Drosophila melanogaster: one gene and its partners. The protein of the gene in region 2 interacts with the protein of the main gene of each other region in a pairwise test. Each region holds a gene or a part of one and is shown on either strand. Other genes may lie near its edges. The genes, in order: CG30394, meigo and CG13012.

Region 1 (9,773 bases), on a different chromosome or scaffold from region 2:
TGGACGCCACATTCGCCCAGTGCGGAGCGGACATAGCCGAGGGCAGCCTGGAGCATGTAGGCGTACCTGCGGTCATCGAGCAGGAGTGCCATTTGGAAGCGTTAAAGTACCAGTTGCACACCTCCTACATGTCCAAGGTCAATATACACGAGCTGTATCAGTGCGATGTGATGAAGTACGTGAACGAGTTCATGTCCCAGGTGCGAACTCGCGAGCCACCGAAGAATGTGGCCAACGAGTGTCGCTTCCAGGAAATCCAACTGATACAGGACCCGCAATATCGACGCTTGGCCAGCACCATTAATTTCGAGCTGGCGCTGGAGATCTTTAATGCTTTCCATGGCGACTGCTTCGATGAGGAGTCACGGTTCCGCAAGTGCGCCGAAACCCTCCGCCGGCATCTCGATGCCCTCAACGATCGTGTGCGCTGCGAGGTTCAAGGCTACATAAACTATGCGATAGACAATGTTTTGGCCGGAGTTCGCTACGAAAGAGTCCAGGGCGATGGGCCCAGAGTGAAGGAGATCTCCGAGAAGCACTCGGTCTTTATGGTCTACTTTACGCATACCGGCACCCAGGGAAAATCGCTCACTGAGATCGAGGCGGATATGTATACCAAGGCTGGAGAGTTCTTCATGGCCCACAACGGTTGGGTCATGGGATACAGCGATCCTCTGAGGGATTTTGCTGAGGAGCAACCTGGACGCGCCAATGTCTACCTCAAGCGGGAGCTCATCTCGTGGGGCGATAGTGTGAAGTTGCGCTTCGGCAGACGGCCGGAGGACAGTCCCTACCTATGGCAGCACATGACCGAGTACGTTCAGACCACAGCGCGCATCTTCGACGGTGTGCGATTGGACAACTGCCACTCCACGCCATTGCACGTAGCTGAGTACCTTCTCGATGCAGCTCGTAAGATCAACCCAGAGCTGTATGTGGTGGCTGAACTGTTCACCAATTCCGATTACACCGACAATGTGTTTGTGAACCGATTGGGTATCACCTCCTTGATCCGTGAAGCTCTTTCCGCTTGGGACTCCCACGAGCAAGGCCGCTTAGTGTATCGGTATGGAGGAGTGCCTGTAGGTGGTTTCCAAGCAAACTCATCGCGCCACGAGGCCACCAGTGTCGCTCATGCCCTCTTCCTGGACCTCACCCACGATAATCCGTCTCCGGTGGAGAAGCGTTCCGTGTACGATCTTCTACCATCGGCGGCACTGGTTTCCATGGCATGCTGTGCCACAGGAAGTAACCGTGGTTACGACGAACTGGTCCCCCATCATGTGAGCGTTCATTCGTTTAAGATTTATTCCTGAAACTAACTCATACTTTTTTCCCAGATCCATGTCGTAGATGAGGAACGCACCTACCAAGAATGGGGCAAAGGTGTTGACTCGAAGTCCGGAATTATGGGTGCCAAAAGAGCACTGAATTTGCTGCATGGACAGCTCGCAGAGGAGGGATTTAGCCAAGTTTACGTAGACCAGATGGATCCCAACGTAGTTGCAGTTACTCGTCATTCGCCAATCACGCATCAGTCAGTTATTCTCGTGGCCCACACTGCCTTTGGCTATCCCTCTCCTAATGCCGGACCCACCGGAATCCGCCCGCTGCGTTTCGAGGGTGTGCTGGACGAGATCATCCTGGAGGCCAGCTTGACCATGCAGAGTGACAAGCCATTCGATCGTCCTGCTCCATTCAAAAAGGATCCGAATGTAATCAACGGCTTTACTCAGTTCCAGTTGAATCTGCAGGAGCACATCCCGCTGGCTAAGTCGACAGTGTTTCAGACCCAAGCCTATTCGGATGGCAACAACACGGAGCTAAACTTTGCCAATCTACGACCCGGCACTGTGGTGGCCATCAGAGTGTCTATGCATCCTGGTCCTCGCACCAGTTTCGATAAGCTCCAGAAAATCTCGGCTGCCCTGCGTATTGGATCTGGCGAGGAGTATTCCCAGCTGCAGGCTATCGTCTCCAAGTTGGATCTGGTGGCACTTAGTGGTGCCCTTTTCAGCTGCGATGATGAGGAGAGGGATCTTGGCAAAGGTGGCACCGCCTACGACATTCCCAACTTTGGAAAGATCGTTTACTGCGGATTGCAAGGATTCATTTCCCTGTTGACGGAGATTTCGCCTAAAAATGACTTGGGACATCCGCTTTGTAACAATCTGCGCGACGGAAACTGGATGATGGGTAAGTTTGTAAAGATAGAGATTTATGTAGTTACTTTACAACATAATTCTTTTCAGATTACATTTCTGATCGCCTAACTAGTTATGAAGACCTGAAACCACTCTCCGCCTGGTTCAAAGCTACCTTTGAGCCACTGAAGAATATTCCACGCTACCTCATACCCTGCTACTTTGATGCCATTGTCAGCGGGGTTTACAATGTGCTCATCAACCAGGTCAACGAACTAATGCCAGAGTATGTCCATTAGAGCCGACTGCATTCATGGAGTTTTTATTAAGTCTTTAATTTTTACAGCTTCATTAAGAATGGCCACAGTTTCCCACAATCCCTGGCCCTGTCCACGTTGCAGTTCCTCTCCGTTTGCAAGTCGGCCAATCTGCCGGGATTCAGTCCTGCTCTAAGTCCACCCAAGCCTCCAAAGCAATGTGTGACTCTATCTGCTGGTCTGCCGCATTTCTCAACGGGTGAGTTTATCTATTATATTTAACAATCGAAACGGAATAATGGAATATTCAACCATTTATGTAGGCTATATGCGGTGCTGGGGCCGTGATACCTTCATCGCTCTGCGTGGCTCCATGTTCCTCACTGGCCGTTACAACGAGGCTCGCTTCATCATCATTGGATTTGGTCAGACCCTTCGACACGGACTCATTCCGAATCTTTTGGACAGCGGCAGCAAGCCGAGATTCAACTGCCGCGATGCTATCTGGTGGTGGATGTACTGCATCAAGCAGTATGTGGAGGATGCCCCCAAGGGTGCCGAGATCCTGAAGGACAAGGTGTCCCGCATATTTCCGTACGACGATGCCGATGCCCATGCTCCAGGTGCCTTCGACCAACTTCTCTTCGACGTGATGCAGGAGGCACTGCAGGTGCATTTTCAGGGCTTGCAGTATAGGGAGCGCAATGCAGGCTATGAGATCGATGCGCACATGGTGGACCAGGGCTTTAACAATCAGATCGGAATTCACCCGGAGACTGGCTTTGTATTCGGAGGCAATAACTTCAACTGCGGCACTTGGATGGACAAAATGGGATCCTCACAGAAGGCCGGAAACAAGGGACGTCCAAGTACGCCGCGCGACGGATCAGCCGTGGAGCTCGTTGGCCTCCAGTATGCCGTACTCCGGTTTATGCAAAGCCTAGCCGAAAAGGAGGTTATCCCGTACACCGGCGTGGAACGAAAGGGTCCATCGGGCGAAGTGACCAAGTGGAGCTACAAGGAGTGGGCGGATCGCATCAAGAACAACTTTGACAAGTATTTCTTTGTATCCGAATCGGAAACCTGCTCGGTGGCCAACAAGAAGCTTATCTACAAGGACAGCTATGGAGCCACCCAGAGTTGGACGGACTACCAGCTGCGATGCAACTTCCCCATCACCTTGACCGTGGCTCCCGACCTGTGCAATCCTCAGAATGCCTGGCGTGCACTGGAGCGCGCCAAAAAGTATCTTCTGGGACCGCTGGGCATGAAGACGATGGATCCCGAGGACTGGAACTATAGGGCCAACTATGACAACTCAAATGACTCCACCGATTGCACTGTAGCCCATGGCGCAAACTACCACCAGGGGCCGGAGTGGGTATGGCCCATCGGTTTTTACCTGCGGGCGCGCCTGATCTTCGCCAAAAAGTGTGGCCATTTGGACGAGACCATTGCCGAGACCTGGGCCATACTACGGGCCCATCTCCGAGAGCTACAGACATCCCATTGGCGCGGATTGCCCGAGTTGACCAACGATAATGGCTCCTACTGCGGTGACTCCTGTCGCACGCAGGCCTGGAGTGTTGCTGCCATTTTGGAAGTCCTGTACGATCTGCACTCCTTGGGAGCAGACGTGGCCTAAACCACCGTAAATACTCATATTCAAACCTGTTAGTTGCTACCAAAAACTGTTATTAGTGTTACGTTTGATAATTGTACGGATACAAGATGGAATGAGATTCGATGCCTGAGGTCCCTTGAAATTTTGCTATTCCTATTCTATTAAAGTTGCAATTGTTTTTAAGCGTTCTTTTTCGTCTAAGAGAAGTAACTATCTCGGCACACACGCATGCAGGAGCATTGGGGGGGATCGATGGAGCCAAAGTTCTTTCGAGGCATGTCCCGTCCCGTATATTTTGGAATGGTGTTAGCCTCGGGAATCGTTGGAGCTTTCATTGGTGAAACCGCTTCCTGGGAAATAGGCTTGACCGGAGGTAGAGGCTTTTCACGCTTTGCTTTCGATTTACCATCCTCTATTTTCAGCTTAAATAGAAATTAACCATTGCGATATAAATATTATTTTAAAAATATTACACCTACTCACTTTGCCACATTTTCTCAAGGCTAAAATGGCTGCCTCGCATGTTAGATCGTAAGCTTTCTGCAACACAACTTGTTGGATAACATCAAGGACGATGGACATTTTGATGGAATTACAAAAAACCTGGGCTTCACATACAATTTTGCTAGCAACTCCACGAGAAATTTGACACAATATTCCCAAGTCATATGAACTGTATATAATTTGTATATACTTCTAGTCTACAGTTTCTTATAAACTAAATAAATACATGTAAAGGTTATATACATAAAGCTTTGCATAGTTGTAAACTATCCGCATTACGTCTGCAGCGAAGTTTGGGTTCCATTTGGACTCGCTTGGTAGGATTCGTTTTCAGTAACTATCTCGACGTCATCATCTTTGATGGATTTGAGATCGCGTCCAATACTTTCCATGTTCAAGCTCAAGGCAGCTGCAGCCACATTATTATTCACTTCATCCAGCTTGGGCTGGCGTAGGCAGTTCTCGTCGTTTGAGGCCTCACGTTTAACCCTTGCCGGTGGCTGCTCTGTCGCATCCGCCGAACTTCGCAGATTGAGCAGCTCCCGGCGAATGGCCTCTACATTGTCTTCAAGGTTGGGTTTCTTGATCTCCGAGTCATTCGATGATTTCGGCTGAGTAGAATTCACCATTAGGGCTAGTGGAATGGGCAATCGTTTGATAAGCGCTTCTTTATCTACGGTCGAATTCCTGAGTAACTCTCCGGTTTTGTAGGATAGAGGTTCAAAAACGCCGGCATGGGCCTCCTTTTCATCGCGCAAATGTGTATTTTCCGTGAGTATGTCCATTAACGATGCCTGCCGCCTTCTCTCCTTCTTTTCGTCCGCAACTGGCTGCGACTCCTTAAGCTTAATTTCAGCCTTCTTCGGTTCCTCGGCAAATTTCGCACCAGTATCCAAAGGCTCATCTTTCTGTAACTCCAAAGGTGGCTGATTAAATGAATTTTTCTTGGCCAACTCTTCGTTTAGCTCCCCAACGGTTTTCGCCAATAGTTTTTTGGTCTCCTTTAATTCCTTTTGGGTTTTGAGTAGCTCATCTGCATTAGCCTTACTTTCCTTTTGCTCTTCGGCAGCCACGTCCTCCTCCTTCTTGATGGCCGCTCCATCAATTGTATTGCTTGCTGATAACAAGCTCGATCCAATTTTTGGTTTATCTGGAAGCGATGCAGCAACAGCAGGCGGATTATTCTTGGGCTTATCCACGGTAAGGTTGACATCGAGTGGTTTGGCTTCTGGTGGGTTTGCTTCTACGGCTTCTACTGGTAGTTTTTTAATATCCGTTTCAGAATTTTTACTATCTATGGGAACTACATGGACTTCATCGATGGGCAGTGGTGGCAACGGTGGGTTGTCGGAGGAAGCTGATTGCACTACCTCCGGCATATCAACAACTTTATCCTCAACGGTTTGTTTTAATTTGTCTGGATTTTGGACATCCAGTTTCTTTAACAATAGGTTCTTTTCACTGTCAATGGATTCTTTGGCCAAATGTTTTGGTAGCTCGCCGACGACAGCTGGCACTTGGCCATCGGGATACAGAGGGGTGCCTATGGCAACCATATCAAACTCCGGGCCGGAGCTCTTTTCATCAATTGCACTTAGGTTCGCATACGTTCCCAGGATCATCAATAGAAATCCACTTACGAATACAAACTGGGCAAGCGTACGTTCCATAGATTCCTTTTTGATGATTTTTCGAAAACTGGATGCGGGGAACATTATACAAATGGCTACGCCAATGGTGGAACCCACCAAGCCAATTATAAGCTCCACGGAGGGAATAACCAAAGCCACGCATAACGAAAAGACAACGATGAAGATAGTGATGAATCGAAAGCGTTGTTCAGGTATGTAGCTACTGCTTTCCGTATGACCCTATACAAAATAGATATTTAGTGTCTACACCATCCAACTGAAGTTACAAAAATACCTTTCTGTATAGCAGCGAATAGAGACTGGCTCTGCAGGGAAAGATTACCAATGGGAAACTAAAAGCAATTGACAGCACAAAGCCAATTTTAATGATATCGCTACCAAAGGAGGTCGATAAGTTCACCAGAATGTTGCCTATAAATACAAAGCCAAATATGTAGAACAGAGAATGCCTCAAAAAGGTGGCTGGCTTACCCGAAAAGGTGTGCGTACAAAACGCCACATATCCGAAAAAACCAACAGATATGTAAACAAAAGTACAAATCCAAGTGGCATTGCGGACGATGCCGTTTAATTTGTCGAGACTCTGGTTGTTAATGCTCTCAAAGACCTCAAATAGTTGCCTGTAAATAGATCAGATATATAAATAAATTTTGCGGACATAGAAAGCAGGGTGTACACACATTTGGCAGGAGAGAGCCATGCTGAAGATGGGTAGGCATTGGAGTACGCCCGCCGGTTCCCAGTAGAGCACCTTTTCCGTCCAGTCGTTGGCCGTAATGTGTGGCTGGGCCTCCAACACGATCTTGAGAATTAGGCAGACATAGAAACCTATGGACGCGGTGCAAACGGCGGACAAGCTGTCCACATTGCGGAGCATGCCGAGGGGCACTATGCACACCACAGTGACTACGACCATGACCTGGTAGATAAGAGTTAGTTTCTCTTCTTGGATAGAATAGCACTTTCTTACCAGACTCCGCAGATGCAGGTGATCTGCCACGTCCAGCGCGAAAATCTTGGCGATTATCTGCGGACCCAGATCGCCCACGACCACAAAATACGTGATGCACGTTCCAATCAGGTAGCCAATGATGCACAGCTCCACCAGCAGCTTGCCGGAAGTACCGAAAGCATGGAGACCGAGCATCTCGAAGCTCCTCCTACGTGTCAGCAGCGAGGTTTTAATAAGATAGTGGCAGCAAACCCGGGTTATTCCATTGCTTAGCACAAGAAGAACGATGGATAACAGGATGCCGCACTTCTGGAAGCAGAACGGCATGGCCAAGATGCCGACGCCTATGATGCTGTTGGCCAACGTCATTACATGCGCGGAGTGGGCCAACATCTTGCCGGGAATTCAGCCTACTTTCTCTTTTATCCCGAGTTTCGAGAACTGCGATCCGTTTTCACGTGGGCGTTTCGCCGCGTATGCAATACCGTCACAAGCTGCGTCGAACTGATACCAACCTTCTGTCTGATACGGCGAACAGCAGTACGGCGCAAAATACTACTTGTTACTCCAAAATGAAGCGCTATCGACGATTGCACTTGTGTAAGCAAAATTGTAAACAAAATAATCCGGCGACGACGACGACGGCGGCGGCGGTGAAAAAGACGTTGGCGCTTACATTTAGTGGGCGGTTGTGGTTCAGCAAACATTTGTTCCAATTACGTGTACGTGCGTTGCGCTGCCAGGCTGCTTGCGCATTTTTACGGCCGCAAGAAAGTTTTTAAGCAAATTGTTTGTGTCGTCACCATTCCGTCACCGATGTTTGACAGCGTGACCAGCTTGCGTTATTTGGATTTGGTGAACCGCGAAAGTCATGAGCCTGTGGGGACTTCGAAATGGTCACACCGATTTTTGGCATTTCAATGCAATCCAACAGTCGCACTAATTTTGTACTCGAAATTCAACACGAGCAAACGTGCTCGCGGACAGTTGAAAAATTTATTAAATCTAATAAATGTGCAATTTTGCAGACCATCGAGTGCAGCAGATTCTCCACGACGCATTGGCACCATTTTCAAGCACGGATGCCCTGCAGAGATGGTGAAATCTTGTGATTAAAATTCTCCCCGTCTGAGGTAGGAAATAGTGAAAAAAAATGTCTGCCGCGCCGAAAATTGACAAAGCGACGCCGCCATGTCGCAACCTATAGTCATCTCCCTCTCGCAGCGTGCTCCCAGCACCACCAGTGTTCATCTATGTGTGTAGTGCATATTTCGAGCGTTAAAATCTGTTGAAAATTTAAAACCATTCAAACAGTGGAAAATATTGTGCACACATTATAGGTTTTTCACATTTCCCTTGCGGAAATCGGAAAAGCAAGCGTATGTGTGCCGAATGGAAAAAACCAAGACGCAGGGTTGCATTTTTCTTGATTTCGAGGGGTGCATTCTGTGTGATAAGCGTTTTTTTATTCTGTCTTTAAAATGATTGTAGACTTTTGTCCCGTCATGTTTGATAATGGATATTACGCAGCGGTAAAATTATTATTTAATGTCTGTTATTGAGTCAATGAGTTCTGCGGTTTGGCCAGGGCTGCAGCATCGGCACATGTTCGAGGCTGGCCACGTTTTCTTTTTCCCGCCATCCGCTGTCATTTCAAAATAACACTGTGAACTCACACCCCTTCTATTTTTTTTTGCAGATGTCTCAAACATGAATGAAGGTAATTCAGCAGGAGGGGGGCATGAAGGGCTCAGCCCGGCCCCTCCTGCTGTGCCAGACCGCGTAACTCCACATTCAACGGAAATTTCAGTTGCCCCCGCCAATTCTACAAGCACAACAGTACGAGCAGCAGGATCAGTAGGAGCAGCCTTGCCGGCCACCCGCCATCACCAACATATAGCGACCCAAGTGAAGGGAATCGCCAGCAGCAGCAGCAAACAACAGAAGCAACTGGCCAGTGCGCAGCTGCCTGTGCCGCTGTCGCCCTTGCCGCAACAACAACAGCAAACGGCAGAGGCAACGGCAGCAGCAGCAGCACCCGCCCACTCCAACGTATCCGTTTCCTCCAGCACAATAGAAGCCTCTGTTTTGCCGCCGCAGGCCAAGCGTCAGCGTTTGGACGACAACGAGGACAGGACGAGTGCCGCCAGCATTGTTGGACCAGCCGAGAGCAGCAACATTGTAAGCTCCCTGCTACCAGCGTCGGTGGCCTCCAGCAGCGAGGTCGGCGGGCTTTCTTCTACGGCCCTGCAGGACTTGAATGCCCTCAAGAAGCGCATACTCCAGCAGAAATTGCAGATCTTGCGTAATCTTAAAGAAAGGTGAGTTACTACTTTTTTATTACCAAATACCGCTGAATAACAAATTTTCTTTTAAAAAGGCATCTTGAAAATGTGTCCGAATACTTTTACCTACAAAACGGCGGCAGTATGATGGACTACCCCGCGTGGCGCAAGAAGACACCAACCCCGCAGTTCATCAGCTACAGCAATGCGAATCGTATAGATCAGCTGATACACGAAGATAAGCCAAGCACATCAGCAGCAGCAGCTGCGGCACAGAATCAGAAATATACCACCCAACAGACAGACTCTGTGGAGTCCTCACTAGTCAGTGGCATCGGTACTGGAGCGACAAAAG
Region 2 (10,655 bases):
GGAGGGCTTGAACACGCATACGTTCTTAAAGAACCGCTTGAGCTGAGTGTACAACCGACTGGTCCTGTCTGCCCGGTAGATCTTGGACACGAAGGAGCCTCCCTCTTCCAGTATGAAGGTGGATATGCTGAGGGCGGAGAGAAGTAGTTCGCCCTGAACGTACGAGTCAAAGTCGTGCATTCCAGTAGAATCGGGAGCGCCATCGCTAACAACAATCTGTGCCTTCTCGCCGCCAAAGAACTCAATTATGGCCTCGGCTGTCGACTCCTTGCTGATGTCCGCCCGCAGTTGTTTGACTCCTTCGATCGGAGCCATTCCCTGCAGGTCTACGGCGATGATCTTTACCTTTTCCCGTTCCTCTGGCGGCAGAGGCTCGTACAAGCGTTTGGCCAGCACCTGTGACCAGCTGCCAGGAGCGGCGCAAAGGTCCACGGCTCGGGTGAGACCTGAAATAAGTGGACAATTAGAATCGCTCCGAAAAACACGCGGTTGGATCTGCACCTTCTAGCAACTGAAAGGTCTCATCCGCCTGGAGCAGTTTGAAAGCACTTCGTGCACGCCATCCCTGCTCCTTGGCCAGGCGGTAGAATATGTCTCGTTTATCCTTCGAAGTCCTGCCCATTTAAAAATAATAAAAACAAAAGGGTATCAGCTGTGATACGACATCTACAGTGCTGTCGTTTTAGCCGTTTTCCCTTCAACTTTGGGAGTTTATTGGTATTAAAAACATTAAAAAGTTTGCAAGTGTGAGCTCGAATTTATAGTTTTAAAATATATATCATTCATTTTGTGTTAAAATATAATTTTATATTTAAATGGTAGATTAGGAAAAAGAATCAATTTTGTTTCCAAATCCATAGAAATAGCTACAAAATGTAGTTTAGCTTTAATCTTCATAATATTGAGTTACATATTCATTATATTTGAATTTGTTTATTTGAAATAAAACACGTACAGCTAAAATACATATCTAGTTGGATTTTCAATATTAATAGCTAAATGGCTAAATTTGCACAATCTAAATTTGCACTTCTGACAGCGCCATCCTATTTCTTTGTTATCGATAAATTTCATGCAAAATAACAAATGATTGTGTTGTTGCAGCCCAGCCCGCAGATTGAGAAATTCCTGCTATGAGAACAGGAAAATCGGCGAGATCCCGATTCCCAAATTCAACGTAGCCCGCCCCGACAACAAAAAACGAATAATGGCCAAGTTGAAGAAACTGCATATGAGCTCCAACCTTGATGACCTGGAGAAGATGTCCATCATTCCGGATCTGCGCAGCAAGGGCATGAAAATGTAAGTGGACACCGCGATTTGGTGCTGATGCGGCTGTTTTGATTTACCTGGCATTCTTCGCAGCCTACTGAACACCGCCCGCAAACTGTACATGACCGCCGAGGAGTACAGACTGGATGGCGACGAGGAACTGGCCTACATCACCTACATGAAGTACTTCAATATGCTGACCGCAATTCACAAAAAATCCGATTACCCCAGCCACAAGACGACGGTGCGCCAGATGCTGGGCGACACCGAGTCGAATCGCCGCATTATGGACACGCTGGAGGAGATTATCAACTCTCTGCGGCATCGTTATGCTCAGCAGCACCAAGCGCCGGAACCAATTGCTCCCGACCTGGTTAGCAATGGGCGTGCGGGTGTGGACTCGCCGATAACACAGCCAACGCAGTACGCCCGACTTGGGCTGATAACCTGTCAGGATCTGTATCGGCGCATGCAGGAGAAATCGGTCCTAGTTATGGACTGTCGCCCAAGCGCCGACTACGAGGCCTCCCACCTCACGTACTACTGTGCATTTAATGTGCCCGAGGAGTTGATAACGCCAGGGTGAGTTGTCCATTATAATAATCTCGCTATTTGGATACTAACTTATTGGATTTACACAGAATGTCGGCTGGCAGATTGCAGGCTCGTCTTAGCAGCAGCGCCAAGGCGTCGTGGGCATCGCGTTCCGTCAAGGATTCGGTGGTTCTTATGGACTGGAACACCAAAGATGCCCAACCGGCGACCAACACAGCCATTTCAACCCTTCTGGACATCCTGAAGAACGTGAGTATGGGTGGTATTTAGCCATAGATTACATATAATCATTATTTTCTGGTAGTGGGATCCGGATGTGACGTATCGCGCACCCATTCAAATTGTCGAGGGCGGTTATGAGTACTTCATTATGATGTACCCGACCCATTGCACTAATCCCAGTGTGCAGGCGCCGCAGCAGAACAACAACGACATTGAGACCATCGATGATATCGAGTATCCCTCAATCCACGACATCACCATGAAGGAGGATATTAGTGCGAAGGACTTCAGACCGCGTCCAGACTTCAATCGGGCCAACAAGCCAGCGGCCACTCGCGTTAATGAACAGGGAATTTCCCGTCCTTCTCCGCCGGCTAAGCCCATTGCTGAGATCATGCGTGATCAGGCCGAGTTTTTGCAGCGCGCAGAGCAGAACGATGAGCAGTTGGAGAAGGCCTCAAAAATGTGGAAGCGTCAAGCAGCAGAGGGCGATGGTTTGAATGCTACCGAGGACCAGGAGTTGCACTTCAGGATCCTACAGTTGGAGAGCAAGGCCCAGGACTATGTAAGATCTATAAATTACCTTATAAGGTTCGATTAATTGTTCGTTTGTGTCGTAGATCGTGGAAAACAATCGTCTGCGAGAAGAACTAAGTCGCATACAAGAGCTACACAATGTTACGCAGCAGTTGTCGCAAAAGGAGGTCGAGGCAACGAGGAATATAGAATCCAAGATCCGCGAACGACAGCGCTTGGACGAGCAGCATGAACTTGAACGTCAAGAGCGGGAGCGCCTTTTGGCGATCGCTCGCGAGACAAAAAAGCATTACAAGTCACCAACACCTTCGGGCCCGCCTTCGCCGGGCAGGAACTTGGAGGACGTACATGTCGTGTCAGACAGCCTGGAATCCCTGCTCCAGTTGACTGGCGATCCGGATCCGACAATTGCGCCAAACAAGGCGGAAATACCAACATTCGATCGGGCGATGAAACCGCAGCCGAGGAATGTGGAGAGGACATCGCAACGCGTTCGTGATTTCTCGCCTGTCATTGGTCAGAATGTGGTAAGTATTGCTTGGGTAGTGGTGGTTGACTCACTGGCCACATAAATATAGCCGCGACACGAGTCAAATCAATAGCCAGCGGGTCACGTTTTGAAGACACCCGCCCAGACGTGCGCCGTTCTTGGTGCGCTTTCTACCCCCACTCTCAGTCGCTCGACGTCCGCACTCAAAGCATGTTCAAACCAAAGAAACGTACAATTGCCATACTGTTAAGCAGGAATAGCATTATACAGGATTCCGCGAATGATTTGTGTAGCGGGCGTGAGGCTCCAGCTGCCAACAGCTCCGCCCACCTACAGCATTTATAGCTCCATCTTTCCGCTGAGACGAGTAATAGCTATAGATTTTATTTTCCTCTATCTCCGAATAGTTAACTATATCCTTGGATAACATTTCAGGGTCGTGGACTGACTGGACTGAAGAATCTGGGCAACACCTGCTATATGAACAGCATACTGCAGTGCCTGAGCAACACGCCTCAGTTGACCGAGTACTGCATTTCGGACAAATACAAGAATTACATCAGCAGAAGCAACAAGACTAATGGCCAGGTGATCGAAGAGGTGGCTGCACTCATCAAGGAGCTCTGGAATGGACAGTACAAGTGTGTGGCCAGCCGAGATTTGAGGGTATGCAACTGAAAAAAAAAAAACACCCAAATTTCTTTCTAAACTAAACATACTTCATTGCAGTACGTTGTGGGCCAGTACCAGAAGATCTTCCGCGGCGTTGACCAGCAGGACTCACACGAATTCCTCACCATCCTGATGGACTGGCTGCACTCGGATCTCCAGACCCTACATGTGCCCCGTCAGCGGGAGATGATCAGTGCGTCGGAAAAGGCTTGGCTGGAATTTACCAAGGCGAAGGAGAGCATGATTCTGCATTTATTCTATGGCCAAATGAAGAGCACTGTGAAATGTGTGGCCTGCCACAAGGAGTCCGCCACGTACGAGAGTTTTTCTAATCTCAGCCTGGAGCTGCCGCCAAACTCGAATGTATGTCAGCTGAACCAGTGCATGGACATGTACTTCAGTGGAGAAAGGATCCATGGCTGGAATTGTCCTAGTTGTAAAACGAAAAGAGATGCCATCAAGAAGCTGGATATATCGAAGCTGCCACCTGTGCTGGTGGTGCATCTTAAGCGGTAAGTGATGCTAACACTATGCTATGCTTGTTTATAATTTCTTAAATCCCGCATAGCTTCTATGCGGATCCCAGTAACTCTGGCTCGTACATGAAGAAGCAGAACTACTTGCGCTTCCCGCTCGAGAACTTGGACATGAATCCCTACATAGCACGGGCGGAATCGCGGGCGGTAACACCTAAGACCTACCAGCTGTACGCCGTATCCAATCACTACGGCACCATGGAAGGCGGGCACTACACGGCATTTTGCAAGAGCGCCAACTACGGAAAATGGTTCAAGTTCGACGATCAGGTCGTCTCGGCGTTGGACTCCTCTAACGTGGTTTCTAGCGCTGCATACATTCTTTTCTACACCTGGCTGCCACCCATGCAGGTGCCTCTGTAGACGCTTCGCTCGGTTTCCTTTCGGTTTTTACCCCTTTCGTTTTAATTGTTTTTTGTTTTTCTCTCATATTATAGCTTTTAAGGTCTAGTCGCCACACCCTTTTATCATTTACAAATTACCGCTTAACTGTTAACTGCTATTTAAGAGGATAATCGCTTGTTTGTTGTTGTCTAGGCTCTTAGAACAGTATTACGCGTGGGCGTATTTTCAATGGGTGCAGGCTGCATTCACTAAAACCAAGAACTTCAAGTGCATTACCAGTGTAACAAAGAGAAGCCCGCATATACGCCTGTGTATGCGGGACTATAGTTTATTGTATTTTGCAAATATATTTTAAAACCAAATAAACGAAATTCAATTTCTGATACAAAGAATTTCTTTGAAAGAATCATGCGTAGGGTTTTTAGAAAACAAATTGGGGAGAGCGGGTATTTTACACTCAACAAATAATATAAAAAAGGGGGTGAAAGTTATTTTACCATTGCAAAGAAAAATTCAGCTAATTTTCGCGCCGAAAAGTTCAATTCGAGATATCCGATAAGTAAATATATTCACTTCCAACTAACGGTCACACTGTAAAACGCCCCCGCTCTTTAGCAAATGCAGTGTTGCCAACTCTTGCTTTCAATAAATAGCTAGTTAGTTGATTTATCAATTATTACATTTATAGTGTTTTATGTATGCCCTATTTTTCATTTATAAAGAGTTATGATTTAAACTTATTAAATAAGATGATGAAATTGATGATTCAAAAGAAGAACATAGCTATAACAGTGCACCTAAAAAATGGCCAAAAATACAGGTGCTTGCAATCACTTAATCTAATCTGGCTAGTAGCCAGCTAAAGCGGCAGCACCGACCACGTATTTGATTGGATTATTTGATAGTCAACGCCAAATCACGGCACTGCAGCCGCGACTCCAGAGAATGCCAACTGTTTAGGATCGTGCATTAAGTCCGACTTAACCAATTCGCAAGTCACACGCTTTAAAAACCGTCATCTGCCCGCCATGAATCTGCCGGAACGCAGCCGTTTTGTGATCTACGCCGTCGGTATCTTCGTATGCTACTTCTTGTACGGAATTGTCCAGGAGAAGTTGACGCGGGGCCGCTACGGCGAGGAGGTACAGACAGATGGATCCGTGGGAGAGCGCTTCACTTACGCCTTGGCCCTTGTTTGGGTGCAGTGCCTCTGCAACTATGTGTTTGCCAAGGGTAAGGATTACGTGGACTTGTAACGAATCAATTCTGATCTGTGGTCTTCCAGTGCTGCTGACCATTAGGCCGCAAAAGGAGGACACCACCAACGCGGGCTCCTACGTGGCCTGTTCGCTGACCTATCTTCTGGCCATGGTCTCCACCAATATGGCCATGCGCTGGGTTCCCTATCCCACTGCTGTGGTGGGTAAATCCGCCAAGCCCATCCCCGTCATGATCCTGGGCGTGCTGATTGGTCGCAAATCCTACAGCTGGACGCGCTATGCTTGCGTATTGACCATTGTCCTGGGAGTTATTCTCTTTATGTACAAGGAGGGCAAGGTGTCCAATTTGCCGGCTGAGACCACGCTTCTCGGCGAGGTGCTGCTCTTCCTCAGTTTGTCAATGGACGGATTGACTGGAGCCGTTCAGGAACGCATCCGAGCGGCCAGCGCGCCTTCCGGTCAGCAGATGATGAGGGCCATGAACTTCTGGAGCACCCTGATGCTTGGCGTTGCCATGGTATTTACAGGTGAGTGTTAAAAACACTTTATTTGAGCTAAAAATATTGGCTAAGACCTTTTTATGTAAGCCCCATACGTTTTTATAAATGTTCTGAAAAACTATAAAAAAAATCTTCAGGTGAGGCCAAGGAATTCATGTACTTCACCATCCGACATCCCGAGGCGTGGACCCATTTATCGCTGATAGCTGTGTGCGGCGTGCTCGGTCAGTTCTTCATCTTTCTGATGGTGGCCAGCTTTGGACCTCTGGCCTGCTCCGTGGTTACGACGACGCGAAAGTTCTTTACCGTCCTGTGCTCCGTTCTGCTGTTCGGAAACGTCCTGATTGCCCGCCAGTGGCTTGGAGCTGTCCTGGTGTTCGCCGCACTCTTTGTGGACATGCTGTACGGCAAGAAGGCGCCACTGGCTACGGCCAAAAAGCCGCCAGTCGAGGGAAAGCTATCCGAGGAAAAGAAACTGAATTCGTAGAATTTGATAGATGATTGCATAGCCCTATGTACTGTACATACACAAATTAAGAAGACAATGCTTCCGGCTCGAGCGGCTGCAGCGCCAAAGTTTCCCCATTTCCTAGAACTGCTTATCGTACAAAGGATTCTAGCTATAGCGAACACAGCATTCGATACTTGATCTGCAACCCATAGACCGTCGTTTAAGTTAATTAAATTATTGATATCTATTAGAAAAGGAACAAATATTGTGCAAAAGTTTACACCAGACCTGCGGGTCTCTAACATACAGGATCATTCAATCATTTAATGCTACAATTTATAATTAAAACGTGCTCTTTTATTAATGGTTGTATTATTTATATGGAACGTTACTAAGAAGGCCTAACAAAGGCAACTTATTTTCTGGCTCAGTTTAATAAATATTTTCCCATTTTTTTTTGTATTTTCTTTAACTTGAATTTAAAGCGCTTAAATCAGAGCTGCCACCTTACACGAAATGTGAACTACGTTCATAGGCAAAAGTAAGATGCTATGAAACTCGAGTTCCAAGATAAAATATCAATTTCGTGTTATACTGAAATAAGATTTAATATTGTGTTAGCTACTATATAAACCGTAATAATATGAAAAAAAGACTACACAAATTAGTTGTATCGATACCGCGACGAATCAATTGGCAACAATCGATAGGATCACTTTGCCGACCCTGGCAACTCTAGTTTATTGCCGTAGCCGTTGCAGATACGGTCGAAATTTTCAGAATGTTTTTAAAATGTATAAATCCAGTGTGCGCAATGCTAATTATACAATAAACTAATCGGGACGAAAATTTCCGAAAAATAAAAGAACGCATGTTTCGAGTTTCGGAACGGAACGGAAGGAAACACAAACGCGAAATTAAGCGAAAGTTGGAAAAAGGATATGCCCAGTATTAGCGGGAAAATGCAATAAAAATTGCAAAGAAAAGCAATCGAAATGCAAAAATTGTGATTATTTTTAACAGCAACGAATGCAGTGTGACGTGTGATTAAAAAGAATAATAAAATTGGCTCGTTTGCATAAATCAAATAAAATATTTTCTTATTGGATGAGTCGCACTCTAGTTGTTGTTGTTGCTGCTACCGCTGCCAGCTGTTTGACTGTGTATTTGTTTTTGCCCTGGTGACGTCCGTGCGCGTGTGTATGCGAGTGTCTTTTAGTGCTTTGGCTTAATTTTAGCAACTAAATTCGATCGAAAGTGAGTGTGGGTCGCAGCGACGCGAATAAAAGCAAAGACAAAGGCGGCAAAGTAAGTGAATTGTGTGTACATAAGCGGGATATGTAAGATGTAATTTCAAAATTTTACTCTGTAAATGTGCTCACATGTTGAAGTGGGAGTGAAAGCACGATAAACAACCCCAAATCACGCTGTCGCCCTGTCTCTTTTCATCTTTCTTTTTGTGGGGGTGGCTGGTCATATGTACCGTTAGCCGGCTGTTGTGTTCTCTTCCTCTCTCTCTCCCTCTCTCGGAATAACGGTTAAACGGAAGCCGGCTAAATGCATTATGTAAAGTTTTAACTTGTGCCCCAATTTAATGTCACACTCCCACTTATCAGCGTGTCGTCAGACGGAATAATTGTGGAAAAGTGATTTATGCTTGCCACTCTCTGTCCCGCTCTTTGGCAGATAGCGAAATTAAGCGCCTCCAGCCCCTCTTATCGCCCGAGTTAAGTCCGTGATCGAGGGTGGAGCCTTTTGTGAAGATATGATGTGTAAATGTATGAAGGTTTTTAAGTTTCAGCAGATAGTTGTAGTGTGAAGATTTCCAATAAAGAATACGACTGACTTTCTTGAAGTTCAAAATCAGTATCAAGTTTATTGTCAGAGAGTGGCTACTCGAGTCCTCCGTTTTCGTCTTATACATAAGTACATAGGTTCTTAATTGTAAGCATAATGAACATGCCGACTCGGCATGTGGCTGGCTAGCTGGGGACAATGTTGCAGTGCGACTTTTGTGTAATGTCAGCATTCGGCCGGAATGTCAGCATTCGGCCGGATGCGGTGTTCCAGTTGCCGTCTTCCCGGTTGAGTGTCCGATGATTTGTTTAGAGGCGTGGGGGTTTAGGGGGTGGGGTGGTAACTCCTCCCCCCCCAGTTCGAAGTGACGGCCATAGCGAAGGTATGGATGACGCGTAGATTGGTACGTGATGATCCTCGTGGATGTGGACGATGTGTTTCGTTCGTCGGTGCAGCCATAAGATGACTGCTAGGAACGTTACCAATCCGAGCAGAGTGTAGAGTGTCCAGGTGTGCTGTATAGTATTGTGATGGACGGCCAGGATTTTATCCATTGTTTGGGTGGCTTCGAGGTGCAGTTTTTCTAGGCTTAGTACCGTAATAGTGGTATTCCTAGTTACTTTTCGCATGGGGGGAAGATCAAAATCCGTCTGTTCAGGGAACGTGTCAACCGTGCCGTCGTAATCGATACCGTTAATCTGTATTGTTTCGTTAATGTATCTGATGATGGCTGACCCCATTATTGAGAGCTCGGAGCCGTTTGTTAGGGATACCTTCAGTTTGTTCACGTTGAATGCGAAGATGTAACCTCTCTCTGCCTCGAACACGTCGGTGATGGGGCCGGTTTCCCGTACATCGCAGGAACTGTTTTCTCCGTTCAAAAGGTGTTCCAGGCATGTGTTGTTCTGTGGTGTATCAACGTAGAAGTTCTCGTCGCACAAGAATGTATTATCCAGTTTGGGGCATTTACGGGTCATATGAAATTTCTTATTATTAATATTATAAGCTAGGTAATTTGGGGTTATTACAAAATATGTGTTATTTATTGGTAATGGAACTAGTCTGGCGAGGGTATGAAAAGGTTGTTTAAAAATTGGGACTTTGATATTAAAAATAATCTTTTGTTCGTAATTTAGTGTATTCATTTGTAGGAAATTGTATATACTTTGTTCATTTTTGACTGTGATATTTTGTTTTTCCAGTATTGTTTTTATTTTATCCATTTCTTGTTCATTTAGGATGAACTTGGGAATTATATTTATTTTCGCCAATAGCATACTTTCTGTTATGTCGTTTAGGTGGTTAATGAATAATTCTATGTTATAATTAATCCTATTTAAATATTGTATTTCTTCCAGAAGGGTATCTTGTAAGTTTAAGTGTTTGTATATTTTGTTTTGTGAGGTATCAAAGAATTTACTTATCAAAATTTGTTCATTATTTATATGGTCCGTGATATTTTCGAACCGGATAAGTATTTCGTTGTTAAACATTACTTGTTTTTGGAGATTGTCGTTACTGACTTCGGAATTTTTCTTTATATTGTCAAGTTCTTCATGTATTTCTTTATTGTCGTTGGCATCCATGTTGCCGGTAACCACCTTTACTAGACTCCCCAATCCGTTAATCAAACCCCGTTTGTTTCTATATGAAGGTGTAAGGGCTTTGAGCTTTACTTGGGCTTGGGTTAATTTGGTTTTTAAAATTGTGACGGAGTCCGTCAACGTGGAATCGGGGTTAAATTTATTAATGGTCAGATGGAATTGTTCCATACATCTGCTGTAGTCTTGTAGGTTGATTACATGACTAATTATTTTGTACCTCTCAATTAGTAAGGCTTTCCCTAGTTCTATCTTGGCTATAGGGGCGTTATCATTTAAATAATGGACATGGATAGCCTGAGTTGGCACAAGGGTGAACCTGAAATGGTAAGTTAAGAGGTAGTGGGGTCAGTTATTATCAGTGTTGGGTACGTTGTTGCTTTTGTCTTTTTTCAAAACTGTTTTTCGAATTTTTGATTTGTGTAGTTTTTGATTCCTAGCAGTTATCAATGTATGA
Region 3 (11,058 bases), on a different chromosome or scaffold from region 2:
AAAGGGCTACATAGAGGATATGTTTCCCCTCCACGATATCGTAAGTTATAAATATATCCTAATTATATACATGGATAGATTGTCTAATGTTATGCAATGCATCAATCTATACACTTAGCTGTATCTCGAACGCTTCAACTGGAACCTGAAACGCACCAAGCTGCCCATCGAGGACATCCGGAACTACTTTGGTTCCAGTATAGGTCTTTATTTCGGCTTCATCGAGTTCTACACGAAGGCACTGATCTTTCCCTCCCTTTTTGGTATACTCCAATATGTATTCGATCTGAACATCTCGCTGGTCTGCAGTTTCTACGTTGTTTGGACCACGGTGAGTTAAATTGTTAATTTTCAAGGCGAAACAAAGTAAACCTTTGCACAATAAAAATAAATTGCTTTTACAGCTTATAAATCTAAGTATAGCATCACTTAAGTGCTCTTAAGTTGGAAACTTTTAAGTGCTATAGTAAAAATAGCTAGCATGTATGTATTTTGATCTTGCAGTTTTACCAATTTTCAAGTTTGAATAGTTTAAATATATCTATACACCGACTAAATCATTGCCACAAAAAACAGTTAACTAAAGATTAAATACACTAGAGCTGGCATAAAACGTTATGGTTTTGGTCTTCCAATCGATTTTATATTAACATATTCCTATATTTTTAGATTTTCCTGGAGTTGTGGAAGCGTAAGTGTGCCGGCTACTCGTATCGATGGGGCACCATTGAGATGAGCAGCCTGGACAAGCCGCGATCCGCATATACGGGCCAATTGAAACCGGACCCCATCACCGGCAAGATGACACTCCACTATCCGATGCGGTACACATACCTGCAGATGTACTGCATCTCGTATCCGGTGGTGCTGGGCTGTGTGGTTGCCGCCGGCTGGTTTGCCCTCTACCAGTTTCAGATCGAAGCCGAGGTGCTGGCGGATTTCGGACCAGACTCCTGGCTGCTGTACGTGCCGGTTATTGTGCAGTCGGTGCTGATTGCGATCTTTTCGTGGGCATACGAAAAGCTGGCCACATTCCTCACCAACCTGGAGAACCATCGAACTCGATCGCAGTACGATCGTCATCGGGTCAATAAGCTGATGCTCTTCGAGATCGTGAATAACTTCTTCTCGCAGTTCTATATTGCCTTCGTGCTGCACGATCTGCGCCAGCTGAAGTACCAGTTGATGATGCAACTGCTGGTCTTCCAGCTGCTGTGCATCGCCCAGGAGATTGGTATACCGCTGCTGGCGGTGCTGCGCCAGAAGTACGCCGAGTTCCGTCATCGCGAGGTGGCCGAGGAGAAGCTGCGATCCATCAGTGATCTGCCGCGCTACGAGCAATCGTTCTACGAATCCGGACTAGATGAATATCATTCCACGTACGAGGACTACCTGCAGGTATGCATCCAGTTTGGATTCGTGGTCCTGTTTGCCGCCGTTGCCCCATTTGCCGCCATTGGAGCTCTGCTGAACAACGTCTTTGCGGTGCACATTGATATGTGGAAGCTGTGCAACATCTTTAAGCGACCATTTGCAAGGCGCGCCAAGAACATCGGCGCCTGGCAGCTGGCCTTCGAGCTGCTCTCAGTGATGTCGTTGCTTAGCAACTGCGGTCTGCTCTTCCTTCAGCCGAATGTCAAGTGAGTTTTGGCCTTTTTCTGACTTTCTTACTGATAATCATCCTTTTTTTAATCCATCAGGGACTTCTTCTCTCACTGGCTGCCATCGGTGCCGGATCTTTCGTTCGTAATCTTCGAACACTTGCTGCTGGGCCTGAAGTTTCTCATCCACAAGGTTATTCACGAAAGGCCGCGCTGGGTGCGCATCGGACTGCTAAAGGCGGACTTCGAGACCAGCCAGGCTCTCAAGCAACTCAAGTGGGTGTAAAACGAATTCAATGGAGAAACAATAAAACATCTAACGAACTATGTACTTGCAGAAAATTCAAGGCGGAGGCCAACAAGATGGCCTGATGGGCCACAAGATCGCCGGATCTCCCACTCCACTCCTTTTGGTGCTAATGAAACCAGTCCATTTTAAATGTTATTATTTATAAACATACGACTAATCGCGTTTACCGCGAATGTTCGAGACCAACGGAAGTAAGGTGCCTTAAACCTAAAACTCATATAAATATGTCCACAGAGTACTTAAGATACTGCTTTTGTCTGGCCGGGATTAGCGTGCGCCTCGGAAGTGCCGGAACGCCAAGTAGGCATCCAGGGCATGCAATATTCCCGCTGCATAGCCCATGTACTGAAAGTTAAGGAGTTTAAAGGGATTTTTGGTTAAATATAGGCATATTTTTTATTTAAATCAGCAGTACTTACATAGCAGGCTGTCATGGCCGGATATGCCCAGAATCCGGGTCGCACCAGGAACTGCGGATGTAGCCATACCACGCAGGCGAAACCCATGTAACTGGATGAGCTGAAGTACATGCAGCTGGCGAGGCCATTGAACAAGGTCTCCTGGAATAAGAGCAATCACCATATCGTTAGATCAGAAAAAATTAAAATTAAAATGCATCCTTCAATTTGAATTGAATTTTGTGTTCGAGCAAGTTAGTAGAGAATCTATTCTTCACTTGGAAAAGCGCTCCAAGTCAACCTACGAATAGTGACTGCCGAATGAGACTGTAGGATTTGTCGGAGAAGGCGTAGCACAGTAGCAGGATGCCAGTGGTGGTGAAGCAGTGGCCGGTTGTGGCCAGGAAGCTGGTTAGCGCCTGGCCAATGGAATCGGCGTATGGTACGCCGTAGCGGATGAGCAGTCCCTCGCAGAGCATGGCCAGGCCCAGTTGCATCAGCTTCAGGAGGCCGATCCGCGACAGAACGAACCCGAAATTGATGCAGGTGCAGACGCGACAACAGCATATCCGAATGCCCAGCGGCTGGCCCATTCCTCGAACTCCAAACGAGGCCATGGTCTGATTGCAACTGATCCGGCGATGCAGCGACTCCGCTTTGTTGTATGTTGTCGTAGTGCCAGCCAACCAGGTTCTATAAATAGCTGCCGATACACATGGACCCCAAGTGGTGCATTTCCTTGCATTTCCAGCGACGTGGCAACAAATCCACCCCAATCTCCAGCTAAATTTAGAACAGCAATTCACAATGGGCGAGGATTTGTCTATGCGGAAGGTATCTTCCTTAAATATCCGATTTAATTTCTCTGAAACTACATGATATATATGTTAAAATATTGATACAACTTGGATATCAACCTTTTCACCTTTTAATTTGATCCATTTACCCAAGTGTTTGCTATCCTACGTTCAGTTTGATTTTCGATGCCATCCAAATTCTAGTCGCCAATTCGAATCGTTCCAAAAAAAAAAAACGTTAAGCATAATTCCCCAAATTTCGAGCTCACGCGAACGTGAACCACTGCCAGGATGTGCATGCCGTATTTGAGTAAGCTCTTCGGTGGAGGCGATCGCCGGCAGCGTCGCACCCGCGATGGAGGCGTCACCCCACTGCCCAGCCTGGCCAATGTGACCCAGGTCTCCATGGACACCGTCAAGTCCGCCAAGTCAGCGAAGTCAGCGAAGTCGGCTAAATCCGGCAAGTCCGCCGGTCGCCGTAGTACCACCGCTGCCAATCCTCCTGAGTCCAGTGTCAGCAGCAATGAGGATAATGCGGAGCAACCTCTGGCGACCGCCTCCCGAGGAGCTGTGCGCAACGCCACCGCCTCGATGGCCACCAGTGCTGCTCCAGCCGACGAGGCGAGGTCGCGCCGCTCCTGGTGGGGATACTTTGGCATGAGCAAGAACAAGAAGTCCAGCATTGAGTCGCTCTAGACTGCCAAGGATCGGGATTGCAGCGAATTGCAATGCATATATTCAATAGGAGTTGATGGTCATCGAAATTTGGCTTGCAGTAGTCCCCTATACACTTATCAAAAATCTTTTGCTTTTTTCGCTTTCAAGATATTAGTTAAATAAAAATGTTCCATTTCGAACCTTTGGAACACCAAAAGTTCTTAAGTTTCTATATGGTAATTATGGCAACCTATTATAGCATTTTAAAACGTTCTCTCAACTACAATAATTTATTTTAATAATAGTTTTCAAAAATTCGTGTTAGGCTTCCAGATCTCGTCAAACTGTCAGTACATTTAAAATAGATAAATTTTTAGATGAGATAATGAAACTGGGGGAATCCTGCAAAACATGAATAATCTAAACTGAAATAAAGTTGCCAACTAAATTGGTCAATAAATCAGGGAAGTTATGGCCAAGTTATATGTATGTATGTACATATGTACTTTCACTTTCCCCGTCGATCTCTACGCCCCTGAGCTTTCTTTGTGCCCGCTCTGTTCTCCGATTTCTTTAGCCGATCGGTTGGCGCTCTAGAAGATCGTGTTGTGTCCGGGAAGGGGGCGTGGCAGGGGCAGGGACAGGAGCGGGATGCAAACAAAGCTCAAACGTCGGCACCGCCAGCGATTAGTGTAATTTATCAGTCGCAGCGGCAATTTATGTGGCTAAGCCCGATCGGTGGGATTATATACATTCATATATCTATATAGATGTACATGTTTGTGGGATTGTTTGTTGTGTGTGGGGGGGTGGGGGGTGTGGTGCTCGTGCGGGGGTGGATGCTTTTTGACAATAAAATAATGTGGCTGTTATCACAAGTAATTGTTGCTGCCGGCAGTTGTTATTGTTGCTCCTACCGCTATTGTTGTGCGCTGTCGCTTGCGTCAATGGGCGGCTACACTGCGAGAAATTGGGGCTAAGCGAAAGGCAATTTATGTAAAAATATACCAATAATAATAAGATTACAAATAAGACAATAAATATGAAGGTTTAAAATCTAAGATTGCATTAGAAACGAAGGTATTTGAGTTATTTTTGTAGAATAAACAAGTATAGTTTAAAAATATTTAAAAAAATATTTTCCTGTATACATTCATCTACTTTTGTATTAATATATTCAAGCGCTTATTTATAATTCTTCTTGAATATGTAAAAATGGATTGTAATGCAATTCTTTAAATGTATGCAATTCTTATATACTTATTAATTTTAAAATTTTTTTAAGTGATGTTTCGAATAAAAGGTAGCTATAACGATGACGCCCCAGAAATGCTGTAACAAGTGAAACCGTTCAGAATTTGCATAAATCGTTGCAAAACCCCCTCCACCCCCCTCCACACTCCATAAAGCGGAAATTTTGCAATCTGCAATTAGGAATTTGCCAATTTCGTCACGAATTTTGCACGTGCATAAATCATTGCAGTTAGTTGGTCAATAATCAATCGCCCGTCCAACTTCATCCAATTGGAAATGTGGGATGAGAGGCATTTTGCGATTTTTCGCTTTTCCGAAAAAACAACAACTACGAACACACAAAGATCTCTTTATGCTCTCTTGTTTATTTTAAAAGTCAAGACTATAGAATTTACACATAGGCATCTGTGGTTAAAGTTATGTATATATATATACATAATATCCGCCGATCGGGCGGAAAATGGGAAAGCTCTGTCTGCCTTTCTCTCATTGGCGCAAATGCGTCTGACGTCGCAGCAACGAAACAATATAACAAAGAAAATGTTAAATTTTCAAATGTTTACGTGAAGAAGCGAACAAACAAGGAATGTAAAAATAATTCGCACTGAAAAATCGAAAAAAAACCACTTGTAAATTGTTAATGGTTGTGCCATTAATTGCGGCAAGACTTACACAAAAAAAAAAAGAAACAAAAAAAAAGGCAAAAAGTCGACACAGTGCGCTGATTGTTGTTCAGTCAAATTAAAAGTGCGACAAATTCTCGCGTTCAGTTGCATTTTCATTTTCATTTGCAGTTTTGTATTTGTTTATTTCGGTCGCCTGACAATCTCCAAATCGCCTTAAAAAAAAAATAAAAAAACAAAATAACAACGTACACAACAACGGGGCATTTAATTAAATAAATCGCAAACATCAGTCAACGGCCTGTTATTTCCAGCCGCCAAATCGGACATTATATCGGACATTCTATATACTATATAGCACATTTCGAGAGATCCAATCTGGCGAGAGAAAACCCAGAACAGGAAACAATTGAAATCATCTGAGAAAACGGTATTTATGATGGGAAACGTGGCCAAAAGCAATATGTATGTACAAATTCCTCAAAAATATCAACAATATAATTTCAGCATAAGAAAACAACATAACAAAATTCGTAAATATTAAAATTAGTAAAAATAATATACATTAGATGTATGGAAAAGAGCTAAATATTTCAAAAATTTATAAAGTGAGTTAGAAAGAGCGTTGTTACGATCGTTTTGAAAGTGAATGAATGTGCTTTTCCCAGAACTTAAACAGTCTAAAAACTGTTGTTGGCTGGCTAAACAAATCGCTTTTCCCCATTAACAGCCAAATGCAGCTGTCAATTGGCAACAACTTGCTGGCAAATAGCAAATATTTTGTGCTTCGTACTTAAAGTTTAATAGTACGAAGCACAATTGTGAGTGGTGGGTGTTGATAGACCAACAACAAGTGCGAGCAGCACAAATGTTTAAAATAGAGTATATTTTTATATTTTTTTTCCTTTTTTTGTTTTTTTTTTTTTGCTGAAACGCCAATTCATGGGGCAACAACAAGATGCAGAAGGGGCGATTTCTTGGGGCGAAAGTCGCAATGAAGGGCCGTAAACAAAAAGGCTTTATCTGGGCCAACATCGAGCCAAGTGAGAAGATAATGGCCAAGTGCCTGGCCAGTCTGGCACACTGATTGACTATTATATATACCCATCATGTCTATAGTTAACCGATCCGATGCGATCCTGGTCTAGAAGTGGTATAACCTGCGATTGCCATTTATTTATAGCAATTTGTTTGCCGCCCCGTCGACGTCACTATCATTTGCTATTGTCATGATTTTTGGAAGTCTAAAAACGTAGAGGTGGAGGAACTTGGCGACTTTTAAACGTTTGCAAAACAAGTACACTCGAACCCATATCGCTGTGGCCCACTTTAATTTGAAATCCTTTTCTTAAGTACAAATAGAGCCCCAATATATATGTATATATATATATATATATATATATATATAAGTTGTTAAATAAAATAAAGGTAAGCTCAGGTAGGAAAGAATGCGAAAGAATGTCACACTCATAAATGACGCATTATCGAAATTGAATTTTGAAATGTCAACCAGTTTCTCCCAGTGTACTACGCGCTGCGTGCCCCGCACCGGAGATGAGTTGACAGAATGTGAACAAGTGCCCCTCGATTGGAAAGTCCAAAATCACATGGTAATGTACTATATCTTCTGCAATGCTGTCTCAGGTGGGAAAACCTCAGTTTCGGAGTGACACTGCAGTTCCGAGTAGATATCCTTTGAGTTTGAGTTCCTGATTAGATGACCTGATATGACCGGCGATCCATAATATTTCGCCGAAATCTTATCTTTAAAGAAAAACATAGCAGCGTACTCATAAGTTTAATTACTAAATATATGTTCGTGCCGCACAAATAATCTTAGTCATTGCTCTTTAATTGAAAACTAACTAGATTGATACGAACAATTTGTTATTTATGTTTTCAGGGAATAGTTATAGATATGGAATCTATATACTGATAGCATGCCTCTCTTTGGTTTTATAAGCCAACGAGTTGCTGAAAACCAAATCTTCTAGCTTATCGAAACAATCGAGAATCGATTATCGAGTATCGATGATTCACCCCCACTGATGGATCCAAAGCGGAAGAGTCTTCCCATCCGGAACGGAAAATTCCGGAATGGTAGCCACTTTGGATTGTCAATTTGTGGGAGAAAAACAAAAAACAGTTTGCCCAGTCTGTCCATCTGCGTCATTGCGAAAAAAAAATACTTGTCGCCCACTTGTTGTCGAAGTGGGCGTGGCCGGAGGTGTGCTGACACACAAACAATTGCGGACGCAAGTAAACGAGAAATTTTGAAGAAAAATTAAAACCCTTTTTTTAATGGGTACACTGCAAATTTTAATGTGATCTAAGCTGATCTGGGCATATCAAGGTAATTACTTCTTTGTTAGATTTATGATATAATGATATGATATGATATTATGATTTATGATATGATCACTTGGGCAGACAAGTGTACTAGATGCGTTCAAGGAAGTCGTTTAGTTTTCTTAAATTATACCAGAAGCTTGGGCCTTTCAATTGCTTGATAATCCTACCATCTTGGCCGCTGCTGTATGCGCCCTTAGATACTTGTACATGGGTTTTAGTTTTCTCTGTGAGGCGCCATGTACCCAAGTACCTCGAATTCCTGAGGATCGTGTTCGCTATGCTGCTTATCAGCCCATCTGGTATCGTCAAATCGATAAATCATGTTCCCAGGGGTTCGGCGATGACAATAGCTGATGACGATGACGATGGCGATGGCGATGGCGATCTTCCCCCACCTTGATCTACTGCAAATGCCGTTCTATTCGTAACTGACTTGATCGCTGGCATTGAGACGCTGGCATCGCTTTCATTTGACAACGATTTCCATTTCAATTCCATTGCGTTCGTTACATTTTAATTAGATTTAAGATCATTTTCGTATCGTATGAAAAGTAGACCCGGCTCAACTTGACGGAGATCGCGTCTCCCTCCCGTTTTAACCCCAAGTATATCAGATATACACGAAAATAGCCCACCATTTTGTCAAATGGTTATATATGTTTAAAGCAACTCGCTCTAAATTCAAAAGAAGATTTTGCAGTCGCTGGAAGTGATAAATAAAATAAAATAAAATCAAATCAATTCAATTCATTTTAATTAATGGTAATTAAATCGAGCACGCCTGAACCGGCCAACAGTGCGTATGAGTGATAGACGTCTGAATCGAGTCGCGTGTGCATTTATTGAAGTTAATGCATATTATTGTTTTATCCACACTTGTGTGTGTGTGTGTGTGTGTGTGTTAGGCAAATCCGGTAATCGTACTTAATAAATGTGGAAACACCAAATTGCATAAAACTAATGCAATTTGTTGAGTCTTTCTGTTGCATAAGCCAGAGCTAGAATACTCTTACTTCATTTATCTACATGATGCCAGCGATCTAACTGCTTTCATTTTCATGTTCCTAAATTGGCCCAAAACAAAGTGTTTGGCCTTTATAGGGTTAAGCCGCCTTTCTCGACATTCTCGCGACTGCGCAGTCGGCGTCGCAGCCGCCGCTTTTGGCGCAATCGAAAGTTACGTTTGGGCTTTACGTAGAGCGCATTAGTCGAACGCCGATTGTCGGCGGCATTAGTTCAGAGTTAAAAGTAAAAAACGAATACAACGAGCATAAGGCCAAAATACGATTAGTAGAGTGCATCTTGAATTTTGATACAGAGATATTGCAAGTGAGTGGTTAGTTCTTGGCCAATATATCTTATATCGTAATATCCTACATATATCTTATATCCAGTGCCATTTTTGTGCTCTGTAGATTTGTGTTCAGTGATAATCAATTGATTGGCGTGAATTTTCGAATGGCGCGTTCTACATTCATTTTAATGTGCAAATTTAGATGATTGCCGAATTTTAATTCGAAAATTTCGCCGCTATGCCATTTGCGAGCCGTAATTTGTGCCATTAAATTGCAAATTGTTGCCACCACAAATGATTAAATTAATTAAATTATTAATGGCGCGGTGGCTAAACAACTACAGAAGACGCGACACTACATATATCACATACTATATCATATATATTGTACATATGTACATATATCGTAGAACATTGTGCTCATATGTACGAGTTGAAAATCGTGCTCGCATTTCTCCAGCGACTTAGCATGCAATCCCGCTTTCCACATCCCATTCCTTCCGGTTCATTTAACAAAAAAATGAAATAATAACAGAGACTTTCTTGAATAAACAACTAATAAAACAAATAAAATGTTTAAAATTATGAGTGCAAGTGCGAAAGTTAATCAGTTCAATTAGACTCTCTTAGGCCCTAAAATACATATACCTTTATACTAACTTTTTAAAAACCTTTTCGGCTTCTGCCCTTTTTTTGTAGCGTGACAAGAAAGTATATAATTTTTAAAGAATATATATCTTCTTACTTTAATATACATACATATATACCTTCTTATATTCTAGCTTCATTTGTCAACAAATAGTTTAGTTGTTTTTAATCCTTGTATTCAATGCAAAAAAAACAGACCAAAGAAATGTTGAATGAATGTCTTAGTTTTTATTCAAGAGCCCTACATGATGTTGTATTTATGCCAGTATTATTGAAACCTACGCACATTTTTTCTCGGTGCACCTTTCGCACTTCCAGCAAACTTTATATCGCTTAGTTTTCGATAGTTATTCGATTCGCATGCAAATCATGTGGGGGATCTCATAGAAAACAAGCATACTGTGCTAATCAGACGGGCCTTTAAATTCCAATCATGAAGCCAAATCAATTTACCTTTTGGAACTCTCCCTACCTCCCTCCCTCCCCCTCTCCAATCATTTGGAGAAGAAACACGGAATAATAGGTGACAACTGGAGATATTCCCCATTTGGCAGCTTCTGATGGCACATAAAAGGGTTTTAGTGCCTATCTTATTTTAGATACTTTTCCAGACACGATTCTCCTTCCAATTTTTTTTTTTTTGTTTTTTGGTGGATACAACCAACGCCTAATTGGCAAACGTGACAGATAAAATTCCTAACTAATTTGAAAGCATCAGCAGTTACAGTCGGTTTTTTTGTACGAAAACAAGTAATATATATTTACTTGGAAAATCTTAATTGGTTTCTCTGAATATTATATAGTTCAGTTTACTTCCGCACTTAACTTGATATAAATATATTTTTTAAGGGGAAACTAGTTTTTGAGTATATTTCCAAAGTGTTTGCACAGCTTTTGAGTGGCTGAATGGATGTCTTATCAAATGTCCACAGTGAAACCTCGCCAAGTTGCGACCCATACATAGACTATTAACGTATGTATGTATATTGTTTTTGGGAAAATGTTAAACCAGCCCTACCATATATTGGCCTTGTTTCAAGAATTCGCACTATTTGTATAAACCAAATCAAGTTTTGGATGCCGGAAGAGAACATTTGTATTCATACGATAGAGTCTTACTGAGG

The links.
Region 1: the proteins of meigo (region 2) and CG30394 interact in a two-hybrid assay, tested with the Drosophila melanogaster proteins (one large-scale study listed by BioGRID).
Region 3: the proteins of meigo (region 2) and CG13012 interact in a two-hybrid assay, tested with the Drosophila melanogaster proteins (one large-scale study listed by BioGRID).

Annotation. Positions count from the first base shown.
Region 1 is NT_033778.4:21,315,357-21,325,129, forward strand, and holds CG30394 (uncharacterized protein), read right to left. Parts: upstream 7,965-9,773; 5' UTR 7,527-7,964; coding exon 7,152-7,526; intron 7,101-7,151; coding exon 6,862-7,100; intron 6,802-6,861; coding exon 6,653-6,801; intron 6,593-6,652; coding exon 6,456-6,592; intron 6,401-6,455; coding exon 4,805-6,400; 3' UTR 4,684-4,804; downstream 1-4,683. Other genes in the region: CG9485 (uncharacterized protein), read left to right, coding at 1-1,283, 1,341-2,196, 2,253-2,430, 2,491-2,660, 2,725-4,046; CG33655 (uncharacterized protein), read right to left, coding at 4,223-4,447, 4,509-4,607; dom (domino), read left to right, coding at 8,844-9,454, 9,514-9,773.
Region 2 is NT_033777.3:21,133,204-21,143,858, forward strand, and holds meigo (medial glomeruli), read left to right. Parts: upstream 1-5,066; 5' UTR 5,067-5,285; intron 5,286-5,351; 5' UTR 5,352-5,657; coding exon 5,658-5,862; intron 5,863-5,914; coding exon 5,915-6,376; intron 6,377-6,486; coding exon 6,487-6,836; 3' UTR 6,837-7,162; downstream 7,163-10,655. Other genes in the region: Trm7-34 (tRNA methyltransferase 7-34), read right to left, coding at 1-446, 502-622; Usp8 (ubiquitin specific protease 8), read left to right, coding at 1,208-1,302, 1,366-1,854, 1,914-2,076, 2,132-2,614, 2,670-3,113, 3,512-3,742, 3,806-4,260, 4,317-4,647. UniProt on the Drosophila melanogaster protein: Probable sugar transporter.
Region 3 is NC_004354.4:16,671,183-16,682,240, reverse strand, and holds the start of CG13012 (uncharacterized protein), read left to right. Parts: upstream 1-5,487; 5' UTR 5,488-6,070; exon of another isoform or gene 6,071-6,105; intron 6,106-9,204; exon of another isoform or gene 9,205-9,328; intron 9,329-11,058. Other genes in the region: Axs (abnormal X segregation), read left to right, coding at 1-40, 119-331, 670-1,640, 1,701-1,877, 1,940-1,973; sing (singles bar), read right to left, coding at 2,179-2,256, 2,331-2,471, 2,615-2,926; CG13010 (uncharacterized protein), read left to right, coding at 3,398-3,802.